Tamandua tetradactyla: one gene and its partners. The protein of the gene in region 1 interacts with the protein of each later gene in a pairwise test. Links are inferred from orthologs where the notes say so. Each region holds a gene or a part of one and is shown in the gene's direction. Other genes may lie near its edges. The genes, in order: GOPC, CERCAM, RNF183 and VTN.

Region 1 (7,771 bases):
TCCTCTTTATTATGTACTGTCCATCACAGGAGTACAGAAACATTATTTATCAGGAATCCCTTAAAAACAGGAGAAAATAAAATCAAGGGGATAATACAGGGAAAAATCAAGGAAATAATATGGGTAAAAGATAGTACATTTCATTTTCATCATTTTATAACTAATAACAAAGAACATATAACATTATTTGATAATTGCAACAGATACATATATATTTCATGTCTTTTTAGTCGGTTATATCAGGAAGAGAGCCAATGGGAGAAAAGAGGGCAGAGATAAACAGGGGGACACAGAAAGAACTGCAGAGACACACAGAGGCCCAGAAAAGGAAAAATGGAGACTGTGCTGGTTTGAAAGGATTCTGTGCCCTAGAAAAGCCATTTTTTAATCCTGATCATTTTGAGGAGGCAGCTGTTTCTTTCAATCCCTATTCAGCACTGTAGACTGGAAATTTGATGAGATTATCTCCATGGACATGTGACGCGCCCAATTGTGGGTATTAGCCTTTGATTAGAGGGAGATGTGACTCCATTTATTCCAGGTGGGTTTTCAATAGTTTACTGGAATCCTTTAAAAGAGGAAACATTTTGGAGAGAGCCATGAGAACCACAGAGCCCAGGCAGCCAGAGAACTTTGGAGATGAAGAAGTAATATAGCCCTGGGGGAGCTTCATGAAACAAGAAACCTGGAGAGAAAGTTAGCAGATGTCACCATGTGCCCTTCCAGGTGAGAGAGAAACCCTAACGTCACCTGCCTTCTTGAAACAAGGTATCTTTCCCTGATGTCCTAATTTGGACATTTTATAGACTTGCTTAATTGGGACATCTTCATGGCCTTAGAACTGTAAACTTGCAACTTAATAAATTCCCCTTTTAAAAGCCACTCCGTTTCTGGTATATTGCATTCTGGCAGCTAGCAAACTAGAACAGAGACCTTAAAAGATACTCCCACAAAGGAGAGAGGCTCAGACTTGGGATGTTTAGACACGTAAAGACCACATAAAATTGGTTATGTAATATATGTATTTACGATTCTTTCACTTGCTATTTGCCAGGTCCTCGGTAGGGTGGTGCTTTGTATTCCTTAAATCATTTAATCCTCACATCAACCCTGTAAGAGACATACCATTACATTCCTTGTTTTATAGATAAGGAAACAGATGCTAGAAGTTAGGCAATATCCTTAAATTCACACTCCCAGGAAGTGGCTATGTTAGCTATATAACCAGCCTGATGTGGACTTGGCTGCTTACCTGCAACTATAACTTCTCCGAGGACTAGTTGCCCCATTTGTAAAATGTAAATAATGCTACATTTCCCAAAGTGTTGTTAAGGAGATAATGAATGTAAATTGCCTCATAAAAATTTTCCTATATGATAGGCCATCATTGAATATTAATTCTTGACTCTTGGATTAATTTTCCTTTCTCCTGGTTACTGGAAATTAAATGAAATGTGTGAAGCTTAGTACAGGGTCTGGACACATTAGAGTTCAATAAATGGCAGTTTCCCTCCGTCTCCACTCCTGGGTGGATCTTATATGTTTCTTTATTCATTCCTGTGCCTTTGCATTTCATGGTACTCTATAAATGTTTGAACCACAGCTAATGACCTGTATCTACCAAATGAATTTTTAACATTTTCTTTCTTCCCCCAGTTTCCTTAGTTCCCACCCTGTTTATTCCTAGTAATACTTTGTGGCAAAACTCTGGAGTTATAAGTTCCTTAAAACAAGTCTGTACATTTAAGTTATATTAGAATTTCATAATTTCAAAAAAATCACATAAGCATTATACATGAGACAGTTCGTGGAGGTTTCTGCCAATCTAATTAGTAGTATGATGACTTCATTATATTTGGAAAATAAATCCCACAAGTATTGAGCTTATATACGATTCCAGAGTAGGTCAAGATAAGGCAATGATGCAGCTAGAGCACACTGACAACAGATGGCAGCACTTGAACGTTAAAACCTACTTTTTCACGTTATAGTTTGGCTGCAATATGCAGAATTATAAAATCCCAATGTGGGCAGATAACAAGTTTACATAAAGGGCAGATAACAAGTAGTCACATACTACCAAGACGGCAAACACGTAGACGTGGTAATGAGAAAGGACAATAAGGAATGAAAATATCCTGAGGGACAGGGGTGTGACTTATTGGAACTTTAAACATTGTAAATGAAATAGGACCAGGTTCTGAAATCCTGAAAAAGGGGTAATCACCAACAATTAGGGCACTGGACACATGTACACTTTTGATGCTGTCTGGCCATACTCACATAGTACAGCAAAAAGTTGAATGATTTATTCTTAAAAGAAATGAAATGTATTTTGTGTAGGTCCATAAGTAATGTTGGCAGTATTTTTGTAATTTCTTCTTAGATGTTAATAGATTTGTAATTGGCTTATAATTGGGAAGAGATTATTTTCCTTTTGGACTGATTTGTCATTTTGTTATTCTGGGGACAAAGAAATGGATTTTCTTAATCCCCCTATTCCCCACAGTTGATGGCAAAGGCTCTGGAGAAAAAGGCACCTAGACTGAGATCTCAGTTCAATTACTGTTTGTCTTAGACTCACTGTAACTCAGCTAGAAAAGTGACAAAATGATCAAACATGTAAACAAATAGTACAAATGCCTACCACATAATGAGAACTCAATAACTGATAGCTACTATCATTAGTATTGTGACTCCATGTATATGCCCTTTGTCCATTTTGAAATTATTTACTTCAAATTCCTGAAAATCCATTGCTAACTACATTATCTGTAGAGAAGTTGGCCAGGACATGTTGTAGTGATGTCTTTGTGAGTACTGCAGATGAAAATACTGAAATAATGGAAAATAATTTTGGGAGTAAGATGCAAATTTTAGTTTTATATTATTCATTGCCTATGAAAACCTGTATGAAGTTGTGCATTTAAGCTCAGGGCAAGGATTTCCAGGTTAGTTCTGCTTAGCTAAGTTTGCTAGAGCCACAGGACTCTCTTCCCCCAGTTTCCTCAGTTCCCACTTTGTTTATTCCTAGTAATACTTTGTGGCAAAACTCTGTAGTTATAAGTTCCTTAAAACAAGTCTGCACATTTAAGTTATATTAGAATTTCACAATTTCAAAAAAATCACATAAGCATGATTCATGAGACAGTTCATGGAGGTTTCTGCCAATCTAATTAGTAGTATGACGACTTCATTATATCTGGAAAATAAATCCCACAAGTATTGAGCTTATATACAATTCCAGAGTAGGTCAAGATAAGGCAATGATGTAGCTAGATACTTATCAGCCTGGCCTGTAGTATACCCAGAGAGCAAACTACAGCTGTGATTTTTTTTTGCTCCGTCTTGGTTTTGGTGCGAGTCACACAGTGTGGGTTTTGCATGATGATTGATTGGAACTATCTGTCCCGTCAACAGATCAGGGACAAGTCTGTAGTTAGCCAGAAAAATATTCTCCTACATAATGCAGTAGAGACAGTTCCTACAAGTCTGTTCAAATCAGACTGGTTTCTCTTTCTCTGTCCAGGGCAGGGCGACTCTTGAAATGAAAGGGGATGAGAAAGCAGTTGCTAAACAGTTGCAAAAGTACTGCAAAAATCATATTAAAGTTGTAACTGTGAAGATTAGTAGCCTCACAAGTCTATGACCTCTGCTCGAGTGAGGGTCATATGTGTTCCCAATGCCTCCACAGGGTTTGGCATTCAATATATTTATGAATATATGAATATTCCTTAAGAACAAGAAGTAACACTAAATATAGTACTCTAATGCCTTTGATTGCTTTGTTCCCATTCAATTTAATATATGACAGTAAAAGTACTGCGATTGATTTTCATATATATATATTTTATATATATAACACAAATCACACATTTTGTAACCCAAAATATGGTTTCAAAAAGAAATCACCAGGTTGAGTTAAAACGGTAAGTGGAAAAAAGCCATTCCTTATGGTCATGCACGTCAATTGCTTCGTTTTACTGAAATGCTCTGTGCAAGAATATTACCAGTTTTTTAAATGATAAAACGTGATTCCTTCAACAACGTACACTTTTTAAAATAGTTGCTTTAGAAATGTGTGACCTGTGGTGTAAAAATAAAAGCTAACGCCATGCGTCAAGCACTGGTGCTAAGCGTTTTACCTTACTACTGAGTGAAATAAATTTTGGAAACAGAGACTTTGAGGTTAAAAAATACAACCACGGTGGTGCAACTAGGATGTGGCAGGGTGTAACATTTGAACTCAGGCCTGCCTGTCTCTTACACAGGAGATACAAAGGTCTCTTTATTCAGCAACACCTACTCAGCCACTCTCCGCCAACCCGGCATTAGGCAGTGCCCACACAGTATTTAGGGCCTATTTAACCAAAACGCGCCAATGTGTCCGTCCACCCCACCCACCAAACCTAAGCAGGAACTGGAGAGGAAAAGGGGAAACGTGGCCATTGCGCATGCTCACACCGCCATTCCTCGCTCTCCTTTTCCCGCCCCCGGACGCCACTTTCCCGGACGATTTTAGAACGGCTTTTGTCCACTGTGAAATCAAACCGGTGGGGCCGTTCCTTCCTACGACGTGGATACGCTTCTCTTCCTCGGGCCTTTCCAGCTTGGAAGCACACACCGCGCGCCTACTACTCGCGGACCCAAGCTGGAGTTTGCCAGTCCTCAAGATGGCCGCTGACAGGCCGGGCAGAGGCCTTTCATAGGCCAACGTCGCCTCCTAGCCCCGCCCACCTCGTCCTTCCCGGCCGCCGGGCTCTTGGCTACGCATGCGCAGCGGCGGCGGGCAGGGAGGTGGGACGGGTCGTGTCTTCCGTGTGCCACGGTCGCCGCCTCAGCCTCCTAGGTCTTGCCCCTCGGCGGCTGCATTGCCGGCTTTGGCCCCGCGAGGGGAAGGAGTGACCCCACAGAGCGTGCGTGCGCGGGGGTCTCCGCAGTCCCAGCAGTTCTCCTCGCGCAGGAGTCAGCAGCAGGCGGGGGAGGCCCTCGACGGCGCCATGTCGACGGGCGGCCCGTGCCCGGCGGGTGCCGGTGGGGGCCCGGGGGGCGCCTCCTGCGCCGTGGGGGTCTCCCCCGGCGGGGTATCCATGTTCCGATGGCTCGAGGTGTTGGAGAAGGAGTTCGACAAGGCCTTCGTCGATGTGGATCTGCTCCTGGGCGAGATCGATCCGGACCAGGCGGACATCACTTATGAGGGGCGACAGAAGATGACCAGCCTGAGCTCTTGCTTTGCGCAGCTCTGCCACAAAGCCCAGACTGTGTCCCAAATCAACCACAAGCTGGAGGTGAGCTGCGGGCGCTGGCGGGGGCGGCCTTCACCCCAGGCTGCCCCGGTGGCGTCAGATCTCATTTAGACGCACCAGTGAAAGGACCCCAGAAAACTGCCCACTGGGACAACTGGGCTTCGATGTGTCGGTGTGTGGAGGAAAGGAGGGCGGTAAGGTAGGGGAAAATGAGGGGTGTAAACCTACGTGTCGGTCACCTATCTTATCTTGTACCTTAATGAGCAGGAAACGGGAACTAATTACACCAGCCACCCTTGTACGTTTTATATTAACAACCTAAGACTTAAGCCCAAAGACTGTTAGAACAGCTTTTGACATTTGAGGTTTGCTTCTCTATTTTCCCATTGATGAGCCCAGGTTTATATATCCACCACCCAAATAGAGCCCTAATTACTTTTATTTTAACTATTCCAGATCAGCATCAATGGTCGCACACGGACATACTAGTTCCTGCATGCATGGACTATTTAGGGAGAATTTGATCAAAGCTCTTAGGAAAGTTTAGTGGCATAAATACGATGGTATCATTGCCTTTCTCGGTTTACATCCACAGTTGGTCCTTAAATTGCAGGCAGATATCTCCTGAGCTCCCAGCGGTCATTCAGATGACTTCTAACAGTGAGGTTTATACGTTTGAATTTTACTGTATTTCCCAAAGTCTGCATTTGTTTTTGAGAGTGAGTGAACAATGATCATTCGGTGAACTCTCTAAACTAGAGAGTGAATATGGGTGGAACGGTGGTGGTTACAAAAAAAAAAAGCCTACCAGATGCAGAAAATTTTCAGGCATTATTACAATAATTAGAAATCATGACAGGTTGACTTTATATAAAGAGCATTTTCTAATTAAGCAATTTAAATGAGAGAATTGGTCTTTCATTTTTAATTACATAATAATGGGATAATCAGTGATGTGCAAAACTTTTTAAACATTAGCTTTCCAAGAAATCATCATTGCTATCAGTTGTAATAGTTGAGAGTGCCCATTAGATCCAAAGCAATATGAATATCATATATACATCTTCTCTTTGCTTAGTGGTCAGCATTCTCTTTCTCTCAGTCATTTTTAAAACTGGCATAATTAACCTTTGCTTAGTGTTGATTTGCATATTCATGATTTTCTGGCTCTTTGCTGAATGACTGTTAATTTCTTGCATCCTTTTTTGGGAAGATTGGAATGCATGTGAAAGTAATCACTTCTTATTCTAGGTAAATGAAATGTCTTGATTTTTTGATTAGTAGTGATTTCTAGAAGATAGTTTTTCAAGTAGTGAAATTCTGTTTGAGGGTTTTTAGAACTAGTACTTCAGCCTTAAATAACATAGCAAGAGTAGCTTTTGCTGTATTAGAACTTTTCATATTATTTTTACAAGGATCTACTGAAGATAAACAGCTTATAAAAAAATTAAACAATGTCTAATTTTTAAAAACGATTTAAGGAAACTTTTAACAGTGATATTTTGATGCCAGATTTAAAGTTAATTTTGGAGAAGGGCTCATTCTGTCAGTAGGAGGTGGTGCTTAATTTTTTTTATCTTTAAACATTTTAAATGAGTATTCAAAGCTGTAATACGTTAATGCATGCTCTTTTTTTCTTTCAGAATTTATAATTGCATATGCTGACTCCTTGTCCTGGCTAAGTGGGTAGTATTATTTCTCAAAAAAAAGAAATGTTAGCATATCACAGATGAGCCTGTTTTTTCAACGTGCTTGAAACCCTTGGGGTATAGGTCTTAGAAAATAGGAAGAGAAGAGATTTAACTTGATTTGTTCTTTTTTTTTGGTTTATTTTCTGGTTACAGTTGACTTACCTGTCTGTTGTGTTGATCTTTCCAAATTTAGCAATTTTCCCCTTTCATAGTACAATCCAGGTATTTCTGAGGAGAGAGTTTCATGGTCACAGTGCCTTTCAAAGTAGATCTGCTGCTGTAACCATCTGCAGAATTTCAGGGGTTGCTGCATATAGTGTTATCAATCTTCTGAGGTCTTGATACTTAGAAAAGATTCCCATAGCTTCTTGCCCTATTTTATTTCTAGTAGACAATTGAATTTAGTTCTGTTGATTTAAGTATGAGGACATTAAGACAGTATTTGAGGCCACTTATGGTTTGATAAAATAAATGTGTGCCAGAGTTCAGTAATTTTATAAATTAATTCCTTAAACCATATTACTGCAATATAATATTTTTATATAATCAAAACACAGATACAGTCAGTGTGGGTGATTTATAATATATTTAAATTGGTCTTGAGTATCCTTCCAGATTGCCCCTTCTACTGCCCTGTCATTGTGTCTCTGTAAAAACTGAGCTTAATATAAATATTTAAACAGTTTTACTGCCAAAAAAAAAAGTTACGATTCAAAGTTATATAAAAATGACATCCTTGCCTCTGCTTCTTGCCGTAAGTTATGCTTGGGGAAAAGGGTAGGAGAAGGCAGAGAATTTAGGATATTTTGAGGTGGTGCCATTTCTGATTACTCA
Region 2 (7,294 bases), on another chromosome or scaffold:
CACACTTTGAGAATTACTGCTTTAGCATTTCTGTGGATTTGGCCCAGTATTACTTTTGTAGCATATGTTCATTTTTTGATAGAAAAAAATGAGTGTAAGCAGGAGTGCAGAAGCTTGATTGGCCCACCTTAATGGTTCCATCATATTTATATCGATGTCTGGCTGGTCAATATTTATATTGACTCTGTATTTGGCTTGTACTGCCCAGGGGCTAGGCATATAGAGGCAGACAGGTCCCTGCCTTGGAACCCAGAGTCTCGCTAGGGAGACAGAGACTCAACCAGACAGGGATATAATGTCATCTCTCCATCTTGAAGTCTAAAATGCAACTTAAAATAATGTCCAAAACAGAACCCAATTTTCATATTCCACCTTGTCCCCATTCAGTTAATAACACCACCATCCAACCCAGTTGCAAAACCTAGGAGCCATCTTTGATTCCTCTCTCCATGTCTTATAACTAGTCTCACAAGGCCTATCGGCTCTGCTTTCAGTATATATCTCAACTCTGTCCACATCGTCTCTCCCTGTATTTGGGTCTCCGACTGCCACCCTTGCACCCTTGGTCCACCGTCTGCACTACAGCCAGAGCAATCTTTTTAAGTCAGATCATATCATGCCTCTGCCTACTCCCTCCAATGTCCTAGTGTACTTAAAAAGAAAATTCAAAATTCTGCCATGACTTCAAGGCCCTGTGTGTCTGACCCTGCCAACCCATTGAACCTCACCTCTTACCATACTTCCCTTGCTCAGTTATCTCCAGCAACACTAGCTTCCTTGCTTGTTCCCACCTCAGGAGCTTTACCCCACCCATCTCCTCCATCTGGAACACTCTTCCCCCAGATCTTCCCTCAGCTGGTTCCTACTTATGCTCCCAATGATCTTCTCTGACCCCTCTGTCTGAATGTCGTCTCCCACTCCCAGTTACTCTCTGTTCTTAGTAACTTGTTTTAATTTGTCATAGCATTTACTTTTCTTTGAAATGATCTTGTTCTTTTATGTGTTTGCTTGTTTCCTATCCATCTCCTCTCACTAGAATGTAAGCACCCTAGGAGCAGAGACACTGTCTTCTGTCCCTCCATACATAGCAAGTGTTTAACACATATTTGTCAAATGAATGGGATCCTATAGGATACTATGTAGGGATATGTTCCCAAGACTTGACATTAGGGAAGACTTTCCAGAGGAAGTTTAAGCTGAGACTGAAAGGCCTAGGGGAGTTGGCCAGAGTTGGCCAGAAGTGAAAAACAATCCAGGCAGAAGGATCAGAAAGAAAAAAAAAAAGATGCACAAAGGTTCCAAAACATGAAGGACAAGCATGGAGCATTGTGGCAGAGTAAATAGGCCAGTTTAGTTGGAGGAGAAGGTTGCGGGGAGGAAAAGAGTGGAGAGTTGGAGAAGCACAGGCAGGCCACGCAGGGCCTCCCTGCCCTGTGAGGGGTTTGAGCTCTATGCTGAGGGCAATGGGCAGCTCCCAGAGAGGATTAAGTCAGGCATTAATAGAAAAGACTTCTGAGTGCAACATGGTTTCCAGGAAGAAGGCCTAGGAGGCAAGTGGCAGCAGGAAAGGAAAGAGGTGGCCATGTATTGGAGGTGTGGAGGAGGAGGCCTTGTTGGGATGCACTGATGGAGTGGATATATGGGGTAAGAAAAAGGAACTTGTCATCAGTGACACATAAGTCCCCAGCTTGAGGGCAGAGGTACCATTTCCTAGGTTTGGGGAAAAGATGAGAGCTCTGTCTTGGACAAGTGGTATTGGGGTCCAGGTGTGCAATTGAGATACAGTAAGGTTTCCAGAAAGGGATATTTCCAGAAAGATCAGGTTTCCAGAAAGAGGGAGTGACCCACACAGTCAGCTGCTGCAGAGAAGCCAAGATCTTCTGGATGAGGAAGAAGAAATATCCATTGGGGGAGTGTCAGGGTGGATGCTGGTCTTGGCAGGAGCAGTTTGGCTGGAACAGCCTTGGTGTTTGTTAAGCAGTGAATGGAGGTAAGGAAGTGAGACAGAGCAAAGCACAGATCTCCCGCTTCAAGAAGTTTGCCTTTGATGGGAAAGAGAGAGATAGGAGTGCATTTGGGGTTTGGGAAGATTTAAGTCCTTTGGAAGGCAGAAGGATCAGAAGAGAGGGAGGTTGACTATACAAGAGGGGTAAGGGGATTGTATTTTAAGTCCAGGGATGGTTTCATCATGAGGAAGAAGTATCTTTTCCATTGTCACAGTTAGTAAGAGCAGAGGCTGGTTTTGGGGCAGAAGGTAGAAGGTGTGAAAGCTGGAAATGATAGTCCCCAGGTGAGGACTTACATATTTCCCAAGAAGTAGCAGGACAACCCTTGCTACCAAAGGGTGGGGAGGAAGTGGAGTGGAGTGTCAGAAGACTGGTAGCATTTGAAATGCCATTGAGGACAGGGGATAGGGAACAGAGAATATAGAACATAGGAAAACAGAACTGTTGGGCTTGGTGAGAATCCAGTTGAGGGTGGAGGTCATGAGTTGCAGTAGCCCCAATCAGCCCCAAGGCAAAATGGTTACAGGATTGGGTTTTTCCAGGCATCTGTGAGAAAACCCTAGGAAAGGGAGTCAGTGATAGGCTCAACCACTGAGTGGGCTAGGTGGGGGCAGGCAGGGAGATTAAAATGGGAGGAGCTGATGCTTTGGGAGAAGGAAGACTTTGAGGCCAGGGAAGAATCTGGAAGCTTACGTTACTGATAAGATAGGCAGAAGCTCAAAGACACAGGGAACTCTGGCTTGACTTCAGTGGTTGACGTGGGGGACACTGCTTAGCTTTAGAAAGGAAATCCTGGTTCTGGGACTGGGAGTATCTTTGCTATCCCACCAGAGAGGTGACCCATGCAAGAGAGAGGTAACTCTTGAATTTCCCCAGGATGCGTCCATAGGCCTGGGGCCCTTTTCATTGCAGGGCCATTAGCCAGAAAATGCCTCACCTGGAAGCTTTCACTCAGGACCTGGTGAACACTTTGGAGCCCACCCAGAGTCAGGACACTGTGGTTCAATGCCCTACTGTGCTGCACCATCACTAGGTAAGTTCATTGTTTCCTGGGCACCCCTTTTCCCCTCCCAATGGAAATAGTGTGCCCAGGCCTAGCTCCCCTCTTTAACCCTACCCGTAGGAAAGGAGACCTTCCAGGTAGGGTGGGAAGGTGGGTGGTGAGGGGCAGGGAGATGTCCCCCACACCTCCCTGGGCCTCTCTTCTTCTCAAGTCCTTGTGGTCCAATCCCAAGAGCTCTTCCTGTGTGTCAGATTCATGCAGAGAGATACTTCATGTGATTTCTTTCTCTCAAGGAATCCTTGCAAACCCTACCAGGTGGATGGATTAGAGGATTTTACCGATGAGGGTCCTGAGGCTCGGGGAAAGTGACCAGTCTGAGATAGGTAGCAGATTCCAGTCTAGAACCCACTCTGGTGCCTCTAGGGGCCCTCATTTTTCTGCTTTTGTCCAAGACAGGCTGGAGACCCCTTCCCATCTCTGCTCCAGGTAAGGCTGTATCCCTTGGTTAGGAGGGGAGCTGGGTGGCAGTGAGAGGCTCTGTGGTTGTCCCTAGATCTACACTCAGTCTAACAGTGGGCTTTGCTCTCTTAAAGGGCCAGAGGAACAGAGGTGCTGGCAACCGAGGTAAGGACGGTGACGCGTGGGGAAAGCTTGGCTTGGACGCCTTGGATGGCGGGCCCAGGTCAAGGGGCACCCTCTCCCTGCCCCCCCCCCCCCCACTGTCTTTCTCTCTGGTCCACAAGTCGCCTCTCGGATCTGAGAAGTTCCCGTCTGGGCCCGCTAGAGGGCTCCTCCGGGCAGTGGAGAGGCCAGGAGCGGGGGAACCCGGGAAAGGCCGCGTCTGGGTGGGATCTGCCACGCGTGGGTCTGCTGCTAACGTCTGAAAGGCGGATGGTTAGGAAATTCGTGTTCAGAGGGGTCAGACGCTCAGTGAGGCTGGATTCCGGGGTCAGAAGCTCGGGAATTTGAGGAGTCAGGTGTTTTCAGGCGCAAGTGTGGCTCTGATAGTCAATCCAGTCCCCCTCCCTTTCTCCCCCTCCGGGGTCCTTCGGGGAGGGGGCTGCTTCAGGGTCGTGTTTGGGGCGGGTCTCGGAGCCCTGGTCCTCAGGTGCCCAGGGCCGAGGGGAGGAAACTCGAGAATACTTGCATAGGGCTTGAGGAAATGAAAGACCACTCTTGGGGTCTATGTTCCCCTCCGGCCTCTCTGGGCCCCGCCCTGCCCCGGGCCCCGCCCCTCCGGGTCGCCCCGCCCACTCCCCTCCGCAGGGCCGAGAGCCCCGGGGGCCCGCAGCCGCCGCCTAAGCGCCCGCCATGCGCGCTGTTCCTGCGGCCCAGCTGCTGCAGCTGCTGCTCCTGCTGGGGCCGGGGCTCGAGGTTGCTGGCGTCAGGGAGCCGCCGTTGCCTGCCGTAGTTCTTGCCATCCTGGCTCGCAATGCCGAGCATTCACTGCCTCACTACCTGGGCGCGCTGGAGCGGCTGGACTACCCCCGGGCCAGGCTGGCCCTCTGGTGAGAGAGACCCTGGCATTGGCACCCACAGGACGGCTACCCTTCCGGCCTCCCAGATGGCCCCGCCCTAGACCCTCTTTGCCCAGACACCACCAGCCGGCCCCTGCCTTGGCAGGCAGATCCCCCCCCTACAGCCCAAGCCCTGAGACAAGACCCCTTACCCTTGCAGGGACAAACCTATGAAGTCATAAGTCCACCCTGGGGACACCCAACTCTCATTCCAGCTGTTTTCTCCTGCCCTTGGGTTTTCCTTTAGGTGTAAGTTGGGCCCAGGCCCTCTTGCATCAGCTCCAGGAGCCCAAACGCAACCCCCGTGGGACCTGTGGTTGGCTTGACTTGGATTGGAGCAGACCAGAACTGTTGGAGTCCTCTGGGGACCATCATGGCAGGGATCCACAGGACTGGGGCTTCTCAGGAAGCATATGGGGGTGCTGTCAGCCCTGGGCTCTGTGCTGCCCTACAAGGGGCCCTCCCTCCTGCTGAGCTGGTGTTAACTTCTCAGGGTAGTGGGTCTGGGCCCTGTCTGCCAGGGGCAGCGCTGCTGCTAGGGGCTTCCTCTCCCTGGAGTCTGTCCTCCAAGGCGTGTCCATAGGACACTGGATGCAGAGTCTCAACCCCTCCAGTCTCTGGAAGCCAGAACAGGGAGGAGTTCTGGGCTGAAGTTGGAGATAAAGTGAAAGAAATTACAAACTACCCCCTCCCAACACACCAACGTTGGGCTGGGGGGGTGGAGCTGTGGCCTGGGGAGGCTGCCCACAATTACCACAGTTTGGGAGTTAGTTAGTTCCCACCCCTATAAGTTTGACACGTAGTAGTCTTCACTTCTGGGGAATTGGTTTAAAGAGGCAGTATCATATAAAACTGGGGCTCTTGGCTAAGTCACCCTGCTCCCCTGCCTCCATCATGGCAGCCCCTTCCCTGGGAGAGGAGAAGCTATACTCTGTAGCAGTGGAGCTTGGGCCCATCAGCAATTCTTCAGGATGCTCAGAGCGTGGTTTGTTCTTTATTACAACTTGCCGGTGAAAGAAAACAGCAGTTCTTCTGTCCTGACTCAGAGACATAGGCTGACCTGTGGTCACACAGCAAGGGAGGAAGGTAACCAGGGAAAGTTGAGGTGCCTTTCCTCTTTCATAATGCATTCGCCTTCTGTTATTTCAGCCCAGGATGCATGAGAAACTACAGGGGAAGAAACTGAAGCTGAGGGAAGGGATGGGATTTGCCTGAGGTCACAGAACTGTGATTGGGCCCTGGCTGTCCTGCTTCCAGGCCTTCGCTGCAGCACATCTATCCTCATTCTCCACCCCACCCCACTGCTCCCAGGAGAGGCCAACCTCACAGGTGTTGGTGCTCTCAGAGGCAATGCTGCCTCAGGGGCTGGGTTTGGACCCTCTGTGACTGTGCCCCTTCACCCTTCTTCCTCCTTTGTCTCCAGGTGTGCCACGGACCACAATGCCGACAACACCACAGAGATGCTGCAGGAGTGGCTGGCAGCTGTGGGAAATGACTATGCAACTGTGGTCTGGAGACCTGAGGGGGAGCCCAGGTGGTGATCTGAGGGCAGAGGTTCTGGGGAACCTGGGCAAACAGCTGCAATTCCAGAGAGGAAAAGGGCTACAGCCTCCAGCTCAGGACTCTGCCCACTGCCCTGAAGAGAGGGAGAGGCACCCCCTTAATGGGAATTTATTTTTTTATCCCCCTCAGGCTCTTTCCAGATGAAGAGGGTCCCAAGCACTGGACCAAAGAACGGCACCAGTTTCTGATGGAGTTGAAGCAGGAAGCCCTGACCTTTGCCAGGAACTGGGGAGCTGACTATATCCTGGTAAGGAAGCCTGGCCTAGGATTGGGCTTCTCACAGGTGGTAGTATCTGTCTGGACAGAAATGTGGACATGTCTGAACCACTCCTGTAGAGTAGATCCTTCATTTGGCATACTGGGCCAGAGCTCAAAACAGATATTTAGCTTGGATCCCCTAGCCTAAGCTCAGGCTGGGTACTAAGCCTGGATCCCTGAGATAGATCTCATAGTATTTATTGAGCCTAGATTCTTAGGCCAGAGTCCATAGTATAAACTGAGCCTGGATTTCTGGCTAGAGCGCACAGTAGGTCTTTGGATCCACTCACTAAGACAGATCTCAGGTGATGTTCTTAGATCAACAGTTTAGATCCAGTCCCTGGACCAGTGCCAAGTTTGTTGGTTAGACCTCTCCAAACGAACTTACATTGGATCCTGGGAGCCACTCTGGGTCTCTGCCACCCGAAGGGATCCTATTTGGGATCCTATCCAATTCTTTGGGAGGCTGCAGCCTAGACTGAGGCTGTCTGTGGTTAGGCTGTCTGTCTCGGAAGGCTGTGACACCCCTTTCCTCCATCCAACCCCCCAGTTTGCAGACACAGACAACATTCTGACAAACAACCAGACACTGCGGCTTCTGGTGGAGCAGGGGCTGCCTGTGGTGGCCCCAATGCTGGATTCCCAGACCTACTACTCCAACTTTTGGTGCGGGATCACCCCCCAGGTGAGGCTAGGGATGAGGCCTCAGGAGGTTTGTAATCTTGGGAGGAGGGACATGGAGAGCTGAGAGCCTGAAGGTCTCAGGGTCTGTAGGCCAAAGCAGGGGGGCGCTGTGCTGTGGATGGAGGGAGTGGCCATTACATCCCAGAGCAATCTCCCTTCCCTAGGGCTACTACCGCCGCACATCAGAGTACTTCCCCACTAAGAACCGCCAGCGCCGGGGCTGTTTCCGTGTACCCATGGTCCACTCCACCTTCCTGGTATCC
Region 3 (7,679 bases), on another chromosome or scaffold:
TTCCTTTAATTAATAAAAAATAAATAAATAAATAAATATATAAAAATAAAGCGCAGAGGTTAAGCCCTTTGTCCAAGCTCCCACAGCAATTAAGTCTGGTTCCAAAGATTGCACACTTTCTACTCCCACCCTGCTGCCCTCACAGGGTGGTTTTAAAGAATCAAATGGCCTTACGCAAGTGGGGAGAAAGTTGTAAAAGGCACTTATACTATCTAGGTGTATCTCTACTTAAACCTAAACCAGCACTGGGGCCCTTTTGTAAACTGTGAAGTGCTATATAAATGCAAATCCTTCATTTTCTTTTGTCTTGAGGTTGAACATGCTGGGGTGACACTATGGATAATTAGATAATTAATACTTGGCTGACTGACTTGGCCACAGACTGAGGCAGTGACTTTGGTGTGGGGTTCAGGATTTACTGTAGCTGAGGGTGTCCTGGCTTGGGGTCGGGGTCGGGTAGATTTGTGTCAGGAGCCTCCCCTGGAGAGCCTGGACTGTGCCTGGCACCTGAACCGAAAACAACGGGGGGTGCTGGAGTGGACCGCGGCCGGGAGGGCCCGGGTGCTGGAGCGGTTGGGATCACCCCTTCTCTTGAACGGCTCTTTGCGGATGACCCGCTTCTCTCCCCTCCAGAATCTCACCACAGTGCTAAGCATTGGCAGAACCAGCCACTTTATCCCTGGCAAAGAGGAAAACTTGGGCTTCAGGGAGGCCAAGTAACTTCCCCAGAGCTCCCTAATTAGACAGGAGTCCCCCTACTCCTTGCAGTTTCCTCACATCCCTTTGCTCCTCTTGGGGCTGGAAGAACAGGAGGCACAGAGAAAGTATGTCTGCTTTGAGAGGCTGGAAGGGTCTTTAAGTAATACAAGCTCACTGGAGTAAGAGAATTTTCAGATAAGATAGTTTTTTTTTTAATCTTGTGGTCGTACCCCCCAGAGATAACCATTATTGGCATTTTTCCCACTATACACATATTCTTGAAAATTAGATTGGATTGTAATATTATTTTAAAAATATTTATTATCAATTTATTATCGATTAGCAATTTACACAGACATTTCATTAGTTATTAATCCAATTCTGGACAGAACTTTCATCTTAGACCAGTTTGTCATGGCAATAAATAATTGGCCATTTAAGTAAAGCCAGTTTGGTATTTGATTTAATGTACTTTTTTATTTAAGAAACTATGTATACATTCTTGAATTTCAGCTTACCAAAGTAGGATAGCTTCTATTTGATAGCATAAGCTTTTATTTTCCTGACAAATATTCAAACATCTAATTATATTCATGTTCCAAAGCTGTTTACAGCCTTAGCTTCCTCACTGTTTTGTTCATGATGTAAGTAAACAAATTTGATAACACACAGAGATAGTTTTACTATAATGTTAGTATATGATTTAGAGTTCAAGATCAAATACCAGAAGCTGAGAATCCTTTAAATGTGCCTTATGAAAAGGAGTGGCTTATTTTTCAATAGCAAACCAAAAACCAAAAAAAAAAAAAAATCAACAGGACCTTTTGGCTTAGAATTAGAAAATTATTAGTCTATTTAATTAAAAATTAACTGAGTAATAAACAACCTAAGAAACAAAACCAGTTCTGAAACTTAAAGTTAGACATTTCTTTGTTTCTAACTTTAATGTATGTAAGCACACTTACATATCATGGCTGTCAAAATACAATGATTTTCACAGTCATTTTGAAAATGATTAGAAAAGCTCATCGGGCACTGTGTTAGCAAAAATCAATTTACAGGAGTACTATCTCAATTTTTTTCTGTTGACTGAGGAGCTAAGGAAAACCTGGGAACAACTGAGATATTTCCAAATAAAGTGAAATTATTATGAAAATTCTAAATTTCTAAGAAACAACTATCTTCTAGATTGATTTCAGCAAACCAAAAACCAGCTGGCCTGTTTTTTTAAACACAGCCAGTTTCTTTATTGACAATTGTCTATGCCTGTTTTCATACTACAATGGCTGAGTTGAATAGTTTTGACATTTGCTATGGGCCACAAAGCCTAAATTATTTGTTATCTAGGCTTTTATGGAAAAAGTTTGCTGACTTCTGTTCTAGACACTTGCTAGATAAAAATGGCCTTAAGTGCAGAGCTTTTGGAGAACAAAGTTCAATCGTCATCAACCTTGTGTCTGATGCTCCTTTTATCTACAGTATGGACAGATAAGTAAAACATATGGATTAAAATTGAATAAATAATAGGGGGAGCAAATGTTAAAATAAATTTAGTAGATTGAAATGCTAGTGATCAATGAAAGGCGGTGATAAAGGGAATTTAAAAAATAGGGTAAACAAAGGCTAAAATATATTGGGTAGATGGAAATAGTAGCAGTCAGTGAGAGGGAGGGGTAAGGAGTATGGTATGTATGAGTTTTTTTCTTTTTTCTTTTTCTGAATTGATGCGAATGTTCTAAGAAATGATCATGGTGACGAATATACAACTATGTGATGATATTGTGAGTTATTGATTATTTATCAAGAATGGATTGATCATATGGTAAGAATGTTCGTGTTTGTATGTTGCTATGTTTAAAAAAAATTAAAAAATTAAAAAAAGTTCAATGGTCATCTAAAATGGAATGAAATGAGAAAATATGTACAGGAAATACACAAATGTCATTTAGACTATAACTCATAAGATAAAATCAGCAGAGGATCCTCTGTAAAACAAATATTTAATATTTTAAAGAAGTCAGTTTTAGAGAAAAGACATTTAAATAATACATACTTATCTTTGCCATTAAACTGATCATTTTACAAAGCTGACAAAAATATAGAAAGCAGCTCGAAGAAACTAAATGGAAGACATAACATTGGAAATTTTCTTCAGCTTTTCACTTTAATGGCTGAAGATACCACACAGACTTGTGAAATGTCATCAAGTCCATCTGTTCTCTTTAAGAATGTGTTATCAGTCATAGGCCGGAAACACTTCGCAATTCTTGTATTGAAGACAGTAGAGTAAAGGCAAGGCAGAGAGAGGAACTTGGATGAAGCTTTCCAAGCTGTCTTCCTGAAATGCCACACCAGTGGATGGAATTTGTATTGCACATTTCCAGAACAAAATCCATAGTCCTTTCACTGCCTTCTTTGAAGTTGGCTGATCTATAACCTTCCATTTTCCTCTAGATTTGTTTTCCACATTATATCCAATTTTCCAATTACGGTTGCTCTCTTAAGGATGTTTGCCTTTTCTGCAAACTCCTTCTGGCAGTACAAGTACTGGTACGTATTCATTGGCTGCAAATGGGTTTGTGACCCAAACGTAGATGCACATTTTCCAGTCTGGTTGACGGAATTTAGCTCTGCTATGCTGTACATTATATTATTATTAATAATAATTTGTATATTTCATTGTATATTAACAATGAAACCTTCTCCATAAACAGGGGTGAGGTTGTAATGTTCTGAATCTGGGCTTCAAGAAATATTTCATCAATTTCTACAGTGTAAAATTTGGTTTTCACATCCAATGATTTGAGAACCTGAAATTCTAAGAATTTTCTAAAATTCATTTTTTTCCTCCACTCTGAGTTGTAAAACTCCCTGCATACACTGAGCTTCTCTGAAGACTGGTGACCAGAGAGCCTGGGCTCTGTGTCAGATAACAAGGCACAGGGTGATGTCTGCTGGTCCTTCTCTGCCAGATTTTATTGCTTCTGCTTCTCCGTCTGTAGCTTTTTCTCTAAACTACTCTGGGTGTTTCTCTCTTTCAGCTTCTCTTAATTTCATCTCTTAGCGACTGTCTGTAATATGGTTTTATTGTCTATTCTTTTTTTCATTTAAAGACAAATCATAAACATATTTCCATATTGATAGATATTTTATCACATCGCTTTAAAAGCTGCAGAGTATCTCTTTGTATGGATGGAACAGAACTTAATCAATAAACCACTGGATAATTAGGTATTTCTCCATACTTTACCATTTGAACAGTGCTGAGTGGATATCTTTAACCACATCTTTGAAGGGTCTTTGATTATTTTCGTGGGATGGACAGGTTTCCAGTGCGGAAGTTTCTGGGTCAAAGGTTATGGACATGTTAAACATTTTGCTAAATATTGAAGGTATGCTTCAGACATACTCTGGAATTCAAGGACTCCTCAAAGCTTGATGCATAAAACTTTTTCATGGCCTTTCCCTCAAATCCATTTGCAGTAGTAATACCAATTTTTTTCATATATGGTCTTTATAGGTGCTAGGCTCTAAGAGCTTTATCCCCCACCCCACTACATTTAGCTTCCTTTTCAGATGAGGAAATCGAGGCACAGAGAGGTTAAGGATTCAAATGGAGCCCTAATAGGCAGTGTACCTGCTGCCATGAACCTGGACAGTCTAGTTCCAGAGTCTACACTGCCCACTGCCTCTTGGGAGGTATTTTTGACTTCACCTCCAAAGATATCTCTTACCCCCTCCTGTTTTATCTTCTCTGCTGCCACCTGACCGGGGCCAAGCATCCCCAACCCATGCCTGGGTGACTGCTAAGCCCCAAACTGGTCTTTCATTCCCACTCTTGCCCCTTTCAGTCTGTCCTCTGTTCTGCAACTGGAATGCTGTTTTAAAAATGCAAACAGCATCAGGCCCCCCCCCCCCCCCACTTAAAAGTTTTTCTCCACACCCAAATGTGTTCAGAGCTTACAGTTCCTGTGTTCTTCTTGGCTACTCTTGAGCCTCTCTCCCACCCCATCTTCACCCACTGTACCACCTCCCTTACACTGGCTGTTTCTCACTTCCTCAAATTAGCAGAGTTCATTCTCACCTTAATTCACTGGCACATGCTGTTCCCTTGGTCTGGAATGCTTTTCCCTCCACTCTGCTTGGCTGGATTCCTCTCATCCTTTAGTCTCTGCGTCATATCACTTCTTTGAAGAAACTTTCTCCAGTGGTCTCATCGAAGGCAGCCGACACTTTCCAAGCCCTCTTTTCTTCCCCTTTATAGTATTCATCAAAATTACTCAATTATTTATCTGTTCATTCAGAGGAAAGAATGTCTCTTTCCCTCACTAGACAAAATGCCATGAAGTCAAAGGCCATGAACCTTGTGTCCTCCATTATTTAGCTGGCCAGAGCTTAGCACAGTGCTTGGGATGTAGTGAGCCTCCAATAACTGTCTCACAAGTGGGTGAACAGTGCACAGATCAGGCATTGTAAGGACCCTGGCAAACAGCTGTGGGCAGGGCTGTTCCAATCCCCTTGAATATCTTCATCTCCTTCTCTCCTATATGGAGCAGTGACAGAGGTGTTGGAAAGAACTAGAAGAAATGGATGAGGAAGTATAAGCAGATTTTGCTTCAGGTGTTGACTTGGGCAGGGCAATGATGTCACATCAGGGGCACAAGGGAGATTCACTGATGCAGAATCTTCCCTGGCACAGCTCCTGGATTCCTACCCCGAGGGACTTATGCCCTGAGGAATCTCCAGATAAAAGCAAATGCACACTATCTTGCTAACAACACACGTCCAGCAGGCGGACTGAATGGATGTTGCTGAGTTCTGCCTTTATGAGAGCCGCCCAGTGGTGGTGGACTGGGGCTCTGAAGACATTGGTCCCAGTGTCACCATTAACTAGCTGGGTGACCTTGGGTGAGTCACTTCTTGTCTCCCATCTGCAAAGTGAGTGGTGAGTACTGGAGAAGTGGTTTTTAAACTTTTGTTCTTTTTACCCCCAGCAGCTTAACATTTCAAATTATTCAGATGTCCAATATCAGAAACAGATAAAAGCCAGTTGTCTGTGGTTGATATGGGGGAGCTGGGCTGGGGTGCTCCCCCTGCCTGACTACTCCCTTTCACCCCTCAAGATTGGGTGGGATGGCCGCCAACATGGGAACTCTCAGGTCTCAGCGTGTCAGCACCTGCCAGGCTGGCTGGCTGTGTCCTAAGAAGAAAACAGAAGGCAGTAAGGCTTGCCCATTCCGGTTGTGGCTGAATCTGGTATTCAGAGCTTCCAGGCTGTGAGGTAGGTGAATTTCACAGCAATTAAAGTGCAGGGCCGGCAGCCTCTTTGAGTTGGAGAGGGAGGAGGAGTGTCCGGCTATTTTAGAAAAGAAATGAGGGACCCAGGACACAGGGGAATGGGGAAGTCCAGAAGGCTCACTTACCCTCTCTATGGTTTAGTAAAAGGAGCTTACCCCTAACCTTCCCTGCCGGGGATTCCAGGTCTGGAAGGGGCCGCCCACAATCTTGTAGATCCTTGGCTTCCAGGTTCATTGGTTGCCACCCCCCAGGGGAACTCCCTACCTCACCACCCAGGCAGCTCTCTGGCCTTTGCTCCAGTTAGGTGCACTCAAGAGGCTGAGGCCGGGCCACCTGGCAGGCAGCTCCAGGTGCTGCGTGTGCTGCCATAGAGACGGGCCCTGGGGCTTGGCGGCGAGAAGGTAGTCTCCCAAAGCTTTGCGGATCCTGGAGAGGGAGAAACTGGAACCCCTGGCCCTTCAGGGCAGTCTGCCTGCTTGCTCTCGTGCCCAGGTGGGTACCCTGAGGATTTCCCAGGACAAGGGGAGGGAGGCGGCAGGGGAGGCGGAGCACTGCAAAGAGGCTGTGGAGGGGCTGATCTGGAGACCTGGGCAGGACACCCTCCCCACGGCTTCCAGGTCAACGGGGAGATCGTTACCATCAGCCCCCTTGCCAGGCCAGGGCCATGTCCCCACACCTGGACTGGGAGAGTCGGCTCTGCAGGGTTGGCCCTCTAGTCCAAGAGGAGAAGGGAAAGAGGGCCTGGCGTATGTTCCCAGAGGAGAGACAGACAGGGAAATCACAAAGTCCACCTCTGCACGAGTCAGGGACTTGAGATAGCAGGGAAGGAAACGGATGGCCTTTAGCAAAGGCTCTGGCTGTGTCTTGCCCACCCTCTCCGCGGATTCAGAGCAGCCGAGGGCAGAGAACATGCCCAAGGTCACAGGGCTTCTTCAAAGCCTAGGGTGCAATTTTCCCCAGTGAAGGTGATTTAGGTGGGGGTGTGTGTGCAGGCCTTCTTAAGGGGAGGCGGCTGCAGGGAACACCAGACAACTCCGCGGTTTAAGAATGGAGCGATCTGGAAAATAAGCACTTCATAATTTTGAACGGAAATTTTCTTGTCTGTAAATTGTGGGCGATAACACCTTCTAATACCCACAGAATGCTTGGCCTATGGGACAATGCTTAATGGTGTTTCTTTGCTCCTTTTCGCTTTGTGCCAGCGAGGTCCCTTGGTGTTGGGTCTGACGATGGCCGAACAGCATGGCCGGGAGCCTGAGGCGGAGTGCCCTGTCTGCTGGAACCCCTTCAATAACACATTCCACACCCCCAAAGTGCTGGACTGCTGCCACTCCTTCTGCGTGGAATGCCTGGCCCACCTCAGCCTGGTGGCCCCCGCCCGGCGCCGGCTGCTGTGCCCGCTCTGTCGGCAGCCCACCGTGCTGGCCTCGGGGCAGCCTGTCACCGACCTGCCCACGGACACGGCCATGCTAACCTTGCTCCGCCTGGAGCCCCACCACGTCATCCTGGAAGGCCGTCAGCTCTGCCTCAAGGACCAGCCCAAGAGCCGCTACTTCCTGCGCCAGCCCAGGGTCTACACACTGGACCTAGGCCCCGAGCCTGGGAACCAAGCTGGCCCCTTGCCGGACACGGCCGCTGCCTCGGCACCTGTGCCTGTCTCCATCCCCAGCCACTACTCTCCG
Region 4 (6,977 bases), on another chromosome or scaffold:
ACTGTATCACATACCAAAGTCTGAAATCTGTTCTTTTCTGTAACTACTTCTTACAATGTACTTTGAAATTTAGTGCTTTTTTTTGTAAATATGTTATATTTCACAATAAAATAACGTTTAAAAAAGGGGGACAGAGAGCAATGATGGAAAGATCTTCTTTAAGAGGTGGCAGAGACAGTGGTTGTGGAGTAGGGAAAAGGTTTCATAAACATAAATTCTCAGCGTTTTGCTCCCTTCTCTCCCTTCTGGCTCCCCTGCCCTGTCAGATGCAGACTCTGCCTTTCTTTGAAAGGATTTCAATCAGCGCCCAATGAACTATGCTCTGTCCTTGGTCCTGAAGTGACTCCTCTTAGTAATACTGAACCAGGTGAGAACTGTTATTTCCTACTTTGAAAATATCAGTGCTGTTTGCATTTTGCAGCCTTCCTCTTCCTAGGGTGCTAACCTCCCCAATTTTCCAGCCTATTGTAGCTGCCCCACCCCACATAACAAATCTATTAGACATGCCCTCCAGCCTGGACCCCACCACGCTCAGTGAACACTCATTCCATTTGCTAACCCTCCAAATTCATGTTCCATCTCCATCAGGCACCTGATGTTAGTTGGGAGGTTAATTATTTGCTGAATAATTTGCAGAATCCTAACTTGGCCTCCCAACCAAAATTGCTTTATGTATTTTTTTAAAAAATATTACATGTTTTATTATTCTGTCTCCAGAAGGATAATAAACAAAAGGGGGGGGGAATAAAAGGAGTAAAATCGTCAACTATCAGGCAATGAGGCCAGCAACACCCTCCATCTCAGAAGGGTCTCAGAGACCCATGCCCAACAGAAACCAACAAAGAGAAAACTCAGTAAGGGGGAGGGGAAGGAAAGAAAAAAAGCTATGTCTTCATTACTGCAGCAAGAGAGATGACAACAATACCATTCAAATATTTTTCACAGTTGTATCATTTCCACCAATTATAAGGATATTTTTCTTTTTGGAAAGTTGCAAGGAATGTTCCCCTACCCCAAACTCATCTCACTTGTGGGAGCTGCATAAACTGAAAGTGAGCCTTCCAAAATCCTCTGTTCTAAGGGAGCAGAATTTGGTGTGAGACTGAAGTGTGAGAGTCTTCCCTGGCAGAGGGGAGGGAAAGTGAGTCCTCAGGGGTCCTCCTACTTCAGGGGAGATCCCAAGAGGCAGGCACTTAGGGTATTTTGGCACTAAGGGGTGGGAGGAGAACACATACTCTGGCCCCTGCCTAGCTCTGGGCTTCAGATTCTTCTCCCCCAACCTATTCAACTCAGCAGAAAATCTTCTGTTCCCCATCAGCCGCTGCAGAATGAGGTCATGTCTGGACCAGAATGAAGAAAGAGGAAGCAAGAGGTAGATTGTGAGCGGGTAAGTAACCCTTAAGTTAGCACTCATTTCAGCCTAGGGAGAGGACAGAGGGGAGAGTCCTCCCCCGCCCCCCCAAATTGTTTTCCCTTCCCCTCCTGTGTGTGGGGCAGAGGGGAGAGTGATGGGCAAAGGGAGAGAAGTTACCACAGAAGGGCACCCAGGCCCATGGTGAGGAGGGCCAGGTATTTAGGGGGGCATTGGCAATAGGATCCCATCCTGATTCAAAGGACCAATTCCACTCCTCCTTTCCCTGGCCACATTCTCCACCTCTTTAGTCTTGGGTGTGAATCCTGGCTGCACCATTAGCTCACTGAGCGATGCTGGGTAAATCACTAAACTTTTTCCAGCCTCAGTTTCCTCATTTGTAAAATGGACACGCTAATCCTAACGTGCAAGGCTGAAGTAAGGTGAGTCAGGCTGGGTACAGTGCGGAGCATAGGGAAATCCAGCCGTCCAACCGCCCTCACAGCCCCACACAACGTGGGGCTCTACCCGAGCCTGGCACCCTTACCGGTTCTCGGCCACCAGGATCTGCTCCAGCAAGCGCGCGGCCTGCACGCGCGTCTCGAGTTCCGACGCCTGCAGCAGCCTCAGCAGCAGGTCGAGGCCCCCGTCCAGGCGGATGGCGTCGCACAGACCCTGGGCCACCTCGCGGCCTACGGCCGGCAGGAGCCAGGCCTCCTCCACTAACTGGAAAACCTCAGCCAGGCCAGCACCTATGGCCCGCGCGCCGCTGGCCTGCTTCAGCGCCGACAGCGCCTGCTGCAGCTCCGGCAGCGCGCGCTCCAGGGCGCCCTGCACTTCGGCGCCCACCCCGGGTGACACCTCGCGGGGCCCTCGGGAGCCGGCGGCCCACCATGGGCCCGCGCCGCCACCCCCTTCCGGCCCCGGCACAGCCAGCCGCTCGGCACCGGGCCGTGGACCAGACATGGTGAAAAAGCGGCACAGCTTGTAAGCCGAGAGGAGAAGCGTCAGGACCATGGACGCCGGGCTGCGAGGGTCATCCCCGGCCTGGAGGGGAGGGGCCCGGCGGGGCTACCCAGGACCTGAGGGCAAGGGGGAAGAAAATACAGGAGAAAGGGGTGGAGAGAAGAGTACAAGGCAAGGGCGCTGGTCAGAAATTTTGGGGGGGGGGGGTGAGGTCAAGATCGAGGGCGGAGAGGGTGGGGAAGGGGATGCAGGCCCGGATGCAGGGGGCGGGCGCGAGGAAAGAGCAGAGTGGCCACAGAGGGACCCAGACGCCAGAGGATCGAGGAGGCTGTGGCCGGCAGGAACAAAGCACCGCTCCGGCTCTGGCTCCCCTCGCCGGAGAGACGCTCCGCAGCAGCCGGGTAGCCGAGAAGCCGCGGATCAGGAATCGACACCTCGCCTGTCTGTCTCGCTGGGCTCCTCCCTCGCCGCCCGTTTGGCACCGCCCCTTCTCTCCAGCCACGCCCACACCCTGGCCAGGCCTCCTCCCCCTAGCCGCGTCCCGGGCTCTCCTTGTGGATGCGGGTGGGGAGTGGGAGGAGAGGGTGGACAGGGAGAGGATTGCTTCCGTTTTACCGTCTGATGGCGCTGGAACGCGGGGCAACGCCACGGAATGCGTCTCCTTCCCACCTAGTGGCTAAAGCAATCATAACGACTCTGTACAGCTCTCCATGCCCTTTTATGCCTATTTCTCAATTAAGACTCACACATCCCTATAGAGTTTAGAATTCCCATTGTACAAGCTGAAGTGACTGAGGCGCCTAGAGAAGAGATTACCCAACGTCACACTGGTCACTGATTACAGAACAGAAAAAGTCAATTGGAAGCTCCAGGGATCACTCCCCTCCAGGTGGCAGGGGGACTTCAGTGGCCTACCCAGGATTGGGGAATTACTGGAAGTCTCAGGAATCAAATCCTGTCCAAAGGGTTAATATTCTACCAGTTTCCTGTGTTGTGAAAACTTGCTTGGGGAAATCAATGTATCCAAGAGAGAAACCCAGAAATGAAACATTGTTCTATCATGATAAAAATGTACAAAATTCCCCAGAGTGTTTACCATCTGTCCTCCCACTCCCCCTTCACCGCCCTAAATACACAAAGTAATCATTTATGTGAACCACCCAGCCAGGGTTGCATTTGATCAAACAAATCATGGATCAATAAGCATTTATGGAGAATGAATTTGGGGCTACTCCAGGCACTGGGCATTTTGCCTGCTCTAGCTCACGTCATCTCCCAACGCACCATGAGACATATTATTAATCCCATTTTACTGGAAAGAAAATTAAGGCTCAAAGGGGTAAAGCAATTTGCCTAAGGTCACCCAGGCAGTAAGGAGCAGAGTGTGCTGGCTATCTGCTCCTCAAGCCCCACTGTGCTGCCCCCCTCCTGAGATGTCCCTGAGTTTGGCAAGGATCTCATTTCCCAGGTTTTCCAGGACCAGGGTTCTGGGAATGTGACCCTTTGCAGCTGCAGCCTCCGGGGTCCGGGTACTGGGGGCTGGGCTGGAGGTTGAGCAAACAGAACAGCAGGAAGGGCAGCTCCGTTTCACTAGTCCCCTCCCTCTGTCCCTCCCTCCCAGTTTCCTCCCCTCCCTCCCAGTTTCCTCCCCTCTCTCTCTTTCTTAAGCCTCAGAGCTCACACCTCAGGGAAGGAGCTCAGAGCCCAGCTAGCCAGGTCCTCAGCTAGAGGTCCTGCCATGGCGCCCCCAGGACCCCTTCTGATGCTGGTCCTGCTGGCTCCGGTTGTTCTGGCCGACCAAGGTGCAGGGGGTATGGTGGTGGCACTGCTGGCCACCTGAAACAAGATGGGGTGGGCCGGGGGGGGGTCCAGGCTTAGTCATACTGGTTGGCATCCTCTCCCCACAGAGTCCTGCAAGGGCCGCTGCACTGAGGGCTTCAACGCTGAGAGGAAATGTCAGTGCGACGATCTCTGCTCGTACTACCAGAGCTGCTGTACCGACTACGACACTGAGTGCAAGCCTCAAGGTGTGTTTAGAACCATGGCGGGTGGGCCTGGGGTTCCCTCTGCAGCTGGAGGCTCATGACCCTCCACCCCCACCCCACCTGCAGTAACCCGTGGAGATGTATTCACTCTGCCTGAGGACGAGTACGGCAATTATGACTACACTGGAGAGACCAAAAACGCCAGCATCCAGGCACAGTCAGTGAACGCTTCTGGGAGCTCCTCCACAAGCCCTGATCTGCAGGCCCAGCCTGAAGGGAATTCTGAGCAGAGTCCCATTCAGAACCCAGAGGGAATGTCCCCTCAGCCTACACAGTGGGGGCCCCCAGTATCCACAGCCTCTCTTCAGGGGCTCTCTGGGCCCCTGGCAGATGACGAGCTGTGCAGTGGGAAGCCCTTTGATGCCTTCACCGACATCAAGAATGGTTCCATCTTTGCTTTCCGAGGTGACTATGGGGATGGGTCTCGCGGGTGGGGGTCTGTCCCAGGAGCATCCCCTCCCTCACACAGCCCCCCACCCCCACCCCAGGGCGGTACTTCTATGAGCTGGATGAAAATGGAGTGAGGCCTGGGGACCCCAAGCTCATTCAAGACGTCTGGGGCATAGAGGGCCCCATTGATGCCGCCTTCACCCGCATCAACTGTCAGGGGAAGACCTACCTCTTCCAGGTGCCAGTAATGGGGCTGTGGGCCAGGGTAGAGGGCTTCCAGGGAGGGGCTGAGAGTTGTTGTGACCAGGGTGAGATCTAGGGCCCTGTGGGTGCCTGGTTGGGGCTCCATGCGGACAGGGCAGTCAAGGGTCCAGGTCCTGGAAAACAAACCTGGAATTGGGCACAGCTGCCTCTGGGGCGGGGCAGGGAGATGGTGTCTGCCCGGCTGCTGCTTCCTCAACCCTCTTCCCCTTCCCCATCGTTTAGGGTAGTCAGTACTGGCGCTTTAACGATGGTGTCCTGGACCCCAACTATCCTCGCAACATCTCTGAAGGCTTCAAGGGCATCCCAGACAACGTGGATGCAGCCTTTGCCCTCCCTGCCCACAGCTACCATGGCCGGGAGCAGGTCTACTTCTTCAAGGGTACTTGGGGGCTGGGTGGGACAATGGCCAAGGAGGGGAGCTGCCTCGGTTTCCCTCTGCACTTTACCAGGGACAGGCCTCAGGCTGTGCCCACCCCCAAGGTTGGGAGTTTCTAACAGCGTCTGGGCTCTCCAGCCTGGCTTATGCTCACCCCTGCTGATGCCAGCTGCCCTGCTCCCCAGGGAAACAGTACTGGGAGTACCAGTTCCACGAGCAGCCCAGCCAGGTGGACTGTGAAGACAGCTCCCCATCGGTCGTGTTTGAGCACTTTGTCCTGCTGCAGCGGGACAGCTGGGAGAATATCTTCGAGCTTCTCTTCTGGAGCAGATCTTCTGGTACAGAGAGAGAACCAGTCATGCCTCCCCCTCCAGAGGGCTGGGGGCCCCTGGATGGGGGGAGGGCTGGCTGGCCCACGGGGGTTGTGATTGTGGAACTTTCGATCAAGAGCTGTTTGCTCAGCCCAGACTTTGCTTTTGTTGACCTTTTGGGGATGGCTTGGCTCAGCCTGGACCCCACACCTTGGACTTTGCCTAGCAAGGCACAGACAGCAGTGGGAGGGGCCTGTGGAGAGAGGATTGGGGAGGCCTCAGGGGGTGGGGTAGAGACACCCAGGGGTAATGCTGAGGGAGCACAGGGGAAAGAGCATTGAACAGGGAGTCAGAGATCCTGGGGCTGGGCTCTGCCACTGTCTTGCTGTGTGTCCTTGGGCAAGGCACATCTCTGGACACCACATGGCCTTTAAAGGCCCTGCTGGAGGGGGCAGAGCCCAGGTCCCCAGGGCCCCGTACTAGCCCCTTTCCTGCCACAGGTGGTACCAGACCGCCTCACCTCATCAGCCAAGACTGGCCCGGTGTGCCGAAACAGGTGGACGCAGCCATGGCTGGCCGCATGTACATCTCGGGCCTGCCCACCCTCTCCTCCTGGGCCCAGAAGCACAAGACTAGGCGCCGCAGCCGCAAGCGCTACCGTTCCCACCGGGGCCGCAGCCGCAGCCGCAGCCAGACCCCCAGCAGGCCATCCCGCTCCCTCTGGCTGTCCTGGTTCTCCAATGAGGAGAGCGGGCTGGGAGACAGTACTGACACCCCTGGGATGGACTGGCTTGTGCCTGCCTCCTGCGAACCCATCCAGAGCGTCTATTTCTTCTCAGAAGGTGGGATCCCCTACCACCCCTGCGGTGGGCTAGCCTGGGTCTTCCCTGCTGCCCTGGTCTCCATAGACTGAACACAGTTCACGGGCAATGGCCCCAGAAAGCCAGGCCAGAGGCCCTCACGGGCATCATGGATGTTTAACTCCCCTTCCAGGAGAGACCTGGGGCTTCTTTCTTGGGGCAGGACTGGGCAGGACCAGGTTGGGTCCCGCTCACCCTTCCTGCCCTCTCTTCCAGACAAGTACTACCGAGTGAACCTCCGCACACGGCAAGTGGACACTGTGGACCCTCCCTACCCACGCTCCATCGCCCAGTACTGGCTCAAGTGCCCAACCCCTGGTCTCAAGTAGGAGCTGGAGCCCACACAGCTGGGCCCTCCATAGCGCCCTCTTCCAACCCTCTCCCCCACCCCAATAAAGGTTCCTTGGTCGTGAG

Evidence for each region.
Region 2: the proteins of GOPC (region 1) and CERCAM interact in a two-hybrid assay, tested with the Homo sapiens proteins (2 studies listed by BioGRID and IntAct). The two-hybrid records come from large-scale screens. The link is inferred for Tamandua tetradactyla from reciprocal best matches to the Homo sapiens genes GOPC and CERCAM.
Region 3: the proteins of GOPC (region 1) and RNF183 interact in binary tests that used the Homo sapiens proteins (3 or more experiments, as listed by UniProt). The two-hybrid records come from large-scale screens. The link is inferred for Tamandua tetradactyla from reciprocal best matches to the Homo sapiens genes GOPC and RNF183.
Region 4: the proteins of GOPC (region 1) and VTN interact in binary tests that used the Homo sapiens proteins (3 or more experiments, as listed by UniProt). The two-hybrid records come from large-scale screens. The link is inferred for Tamandua tetradactyla from reciprocal best matches to the Homo sapiens genes GOPC and VTN.

What each region holds. Positions count from the first base shown.
Region 1 is NC_135331.1:178,461,166-178,468,936, reverse strand, and holds the start of GOPC (Golgi-associated PDZ and coiled-coil motif-containing protein), read left to right. Parts: upstream 1-4,756; 5' UTR 4,757-4,772; coding exon 4,773-5,288; intron 5,289-7,771.
Region 2 is NC_135328.1:51,214,445-51,221,738, forward strand, and holds the start of CERCAM (inactive glycosyltransferase 25 family member 3), read left to right. Parts: upstream 1-4,279; 5' UTR 4,280-4,320; coding exon 4,321-4,517; intron 4,518-5,675; exon of another isoform or gene 5,676-5,855; intron 5,856-5,949; coding exon 5,950-6,060; intron 6,061-6,218; coding exon 6,219-6,336; intron 6,337-6,897; coding exon 6,898-7,032; intron 7,033-7,195; coding exon 7,196-7,294. UniProt on the Homo sapiens protein: Probable cell adhesion protein involved in leukocyte transmigration across the blood-brain barrier. Does not express any beta-galactosyltransferase activity in vitro.
Region 3 is NC_135328.1:33,859,660-33,867,338, forward strand, and holds the start of RNF183 (E3 ubiquitin-protein ligase RNF183), read left to right. Parts: upstream 1-4,660; 5' UTR 4,661-6,489; intron 6,490-7,199; 5' UTR 7,200-7,226; coding exon 7,227-7,679. UniProt on the Homo sapiens protein: Acts as an E3 ubiquitin ligase catalyzing the covalent attachment of ubiquitin moieties onto substrate proteins. Triggers apoptosis in response to prolonged ER stress by mediating the polyubiquitination and subsequent proteasomal degradation of BCL2L1.
Region 4 is NC_135332.1:51,636,147-51,643,123, reverse strand, and holds the start of VTN (vitronectin), read left to right. Parts: upstream 1-3,976; 5' UTR 3,977-4,055; coding exon 4,056-4,119; intron 4,120-4,224; coding exon 4,225-4,344; intron 4,345-4,428; coding exon 4,429-4,767; intron 4,768-4,850; coding exon 4,851-4,990; intron 4,991-5,238; coding exon 5,239-5,395; intron 5,396-5,577; coding exon 5,578-5,730; intron 5,731-6,203; coding exon 6,204-6,545; intron 6,546-6,779; coding exon 6,780-6,892; 3' UTR 6,893-6,977. Other genes in the region: NAD(+) hydrolase SARM1, read right to left, coding at 1,899-2,368. UniProt on the Homo sapiens protein: Vitronectin is a cell adhesion and spreading factor found in serum and tissues. Vitronectin interact with glycosaminoglycans and proteoglycans. Is recognized by certain members of the integrin family and serves as a cell-to-substrate adhesion molecule.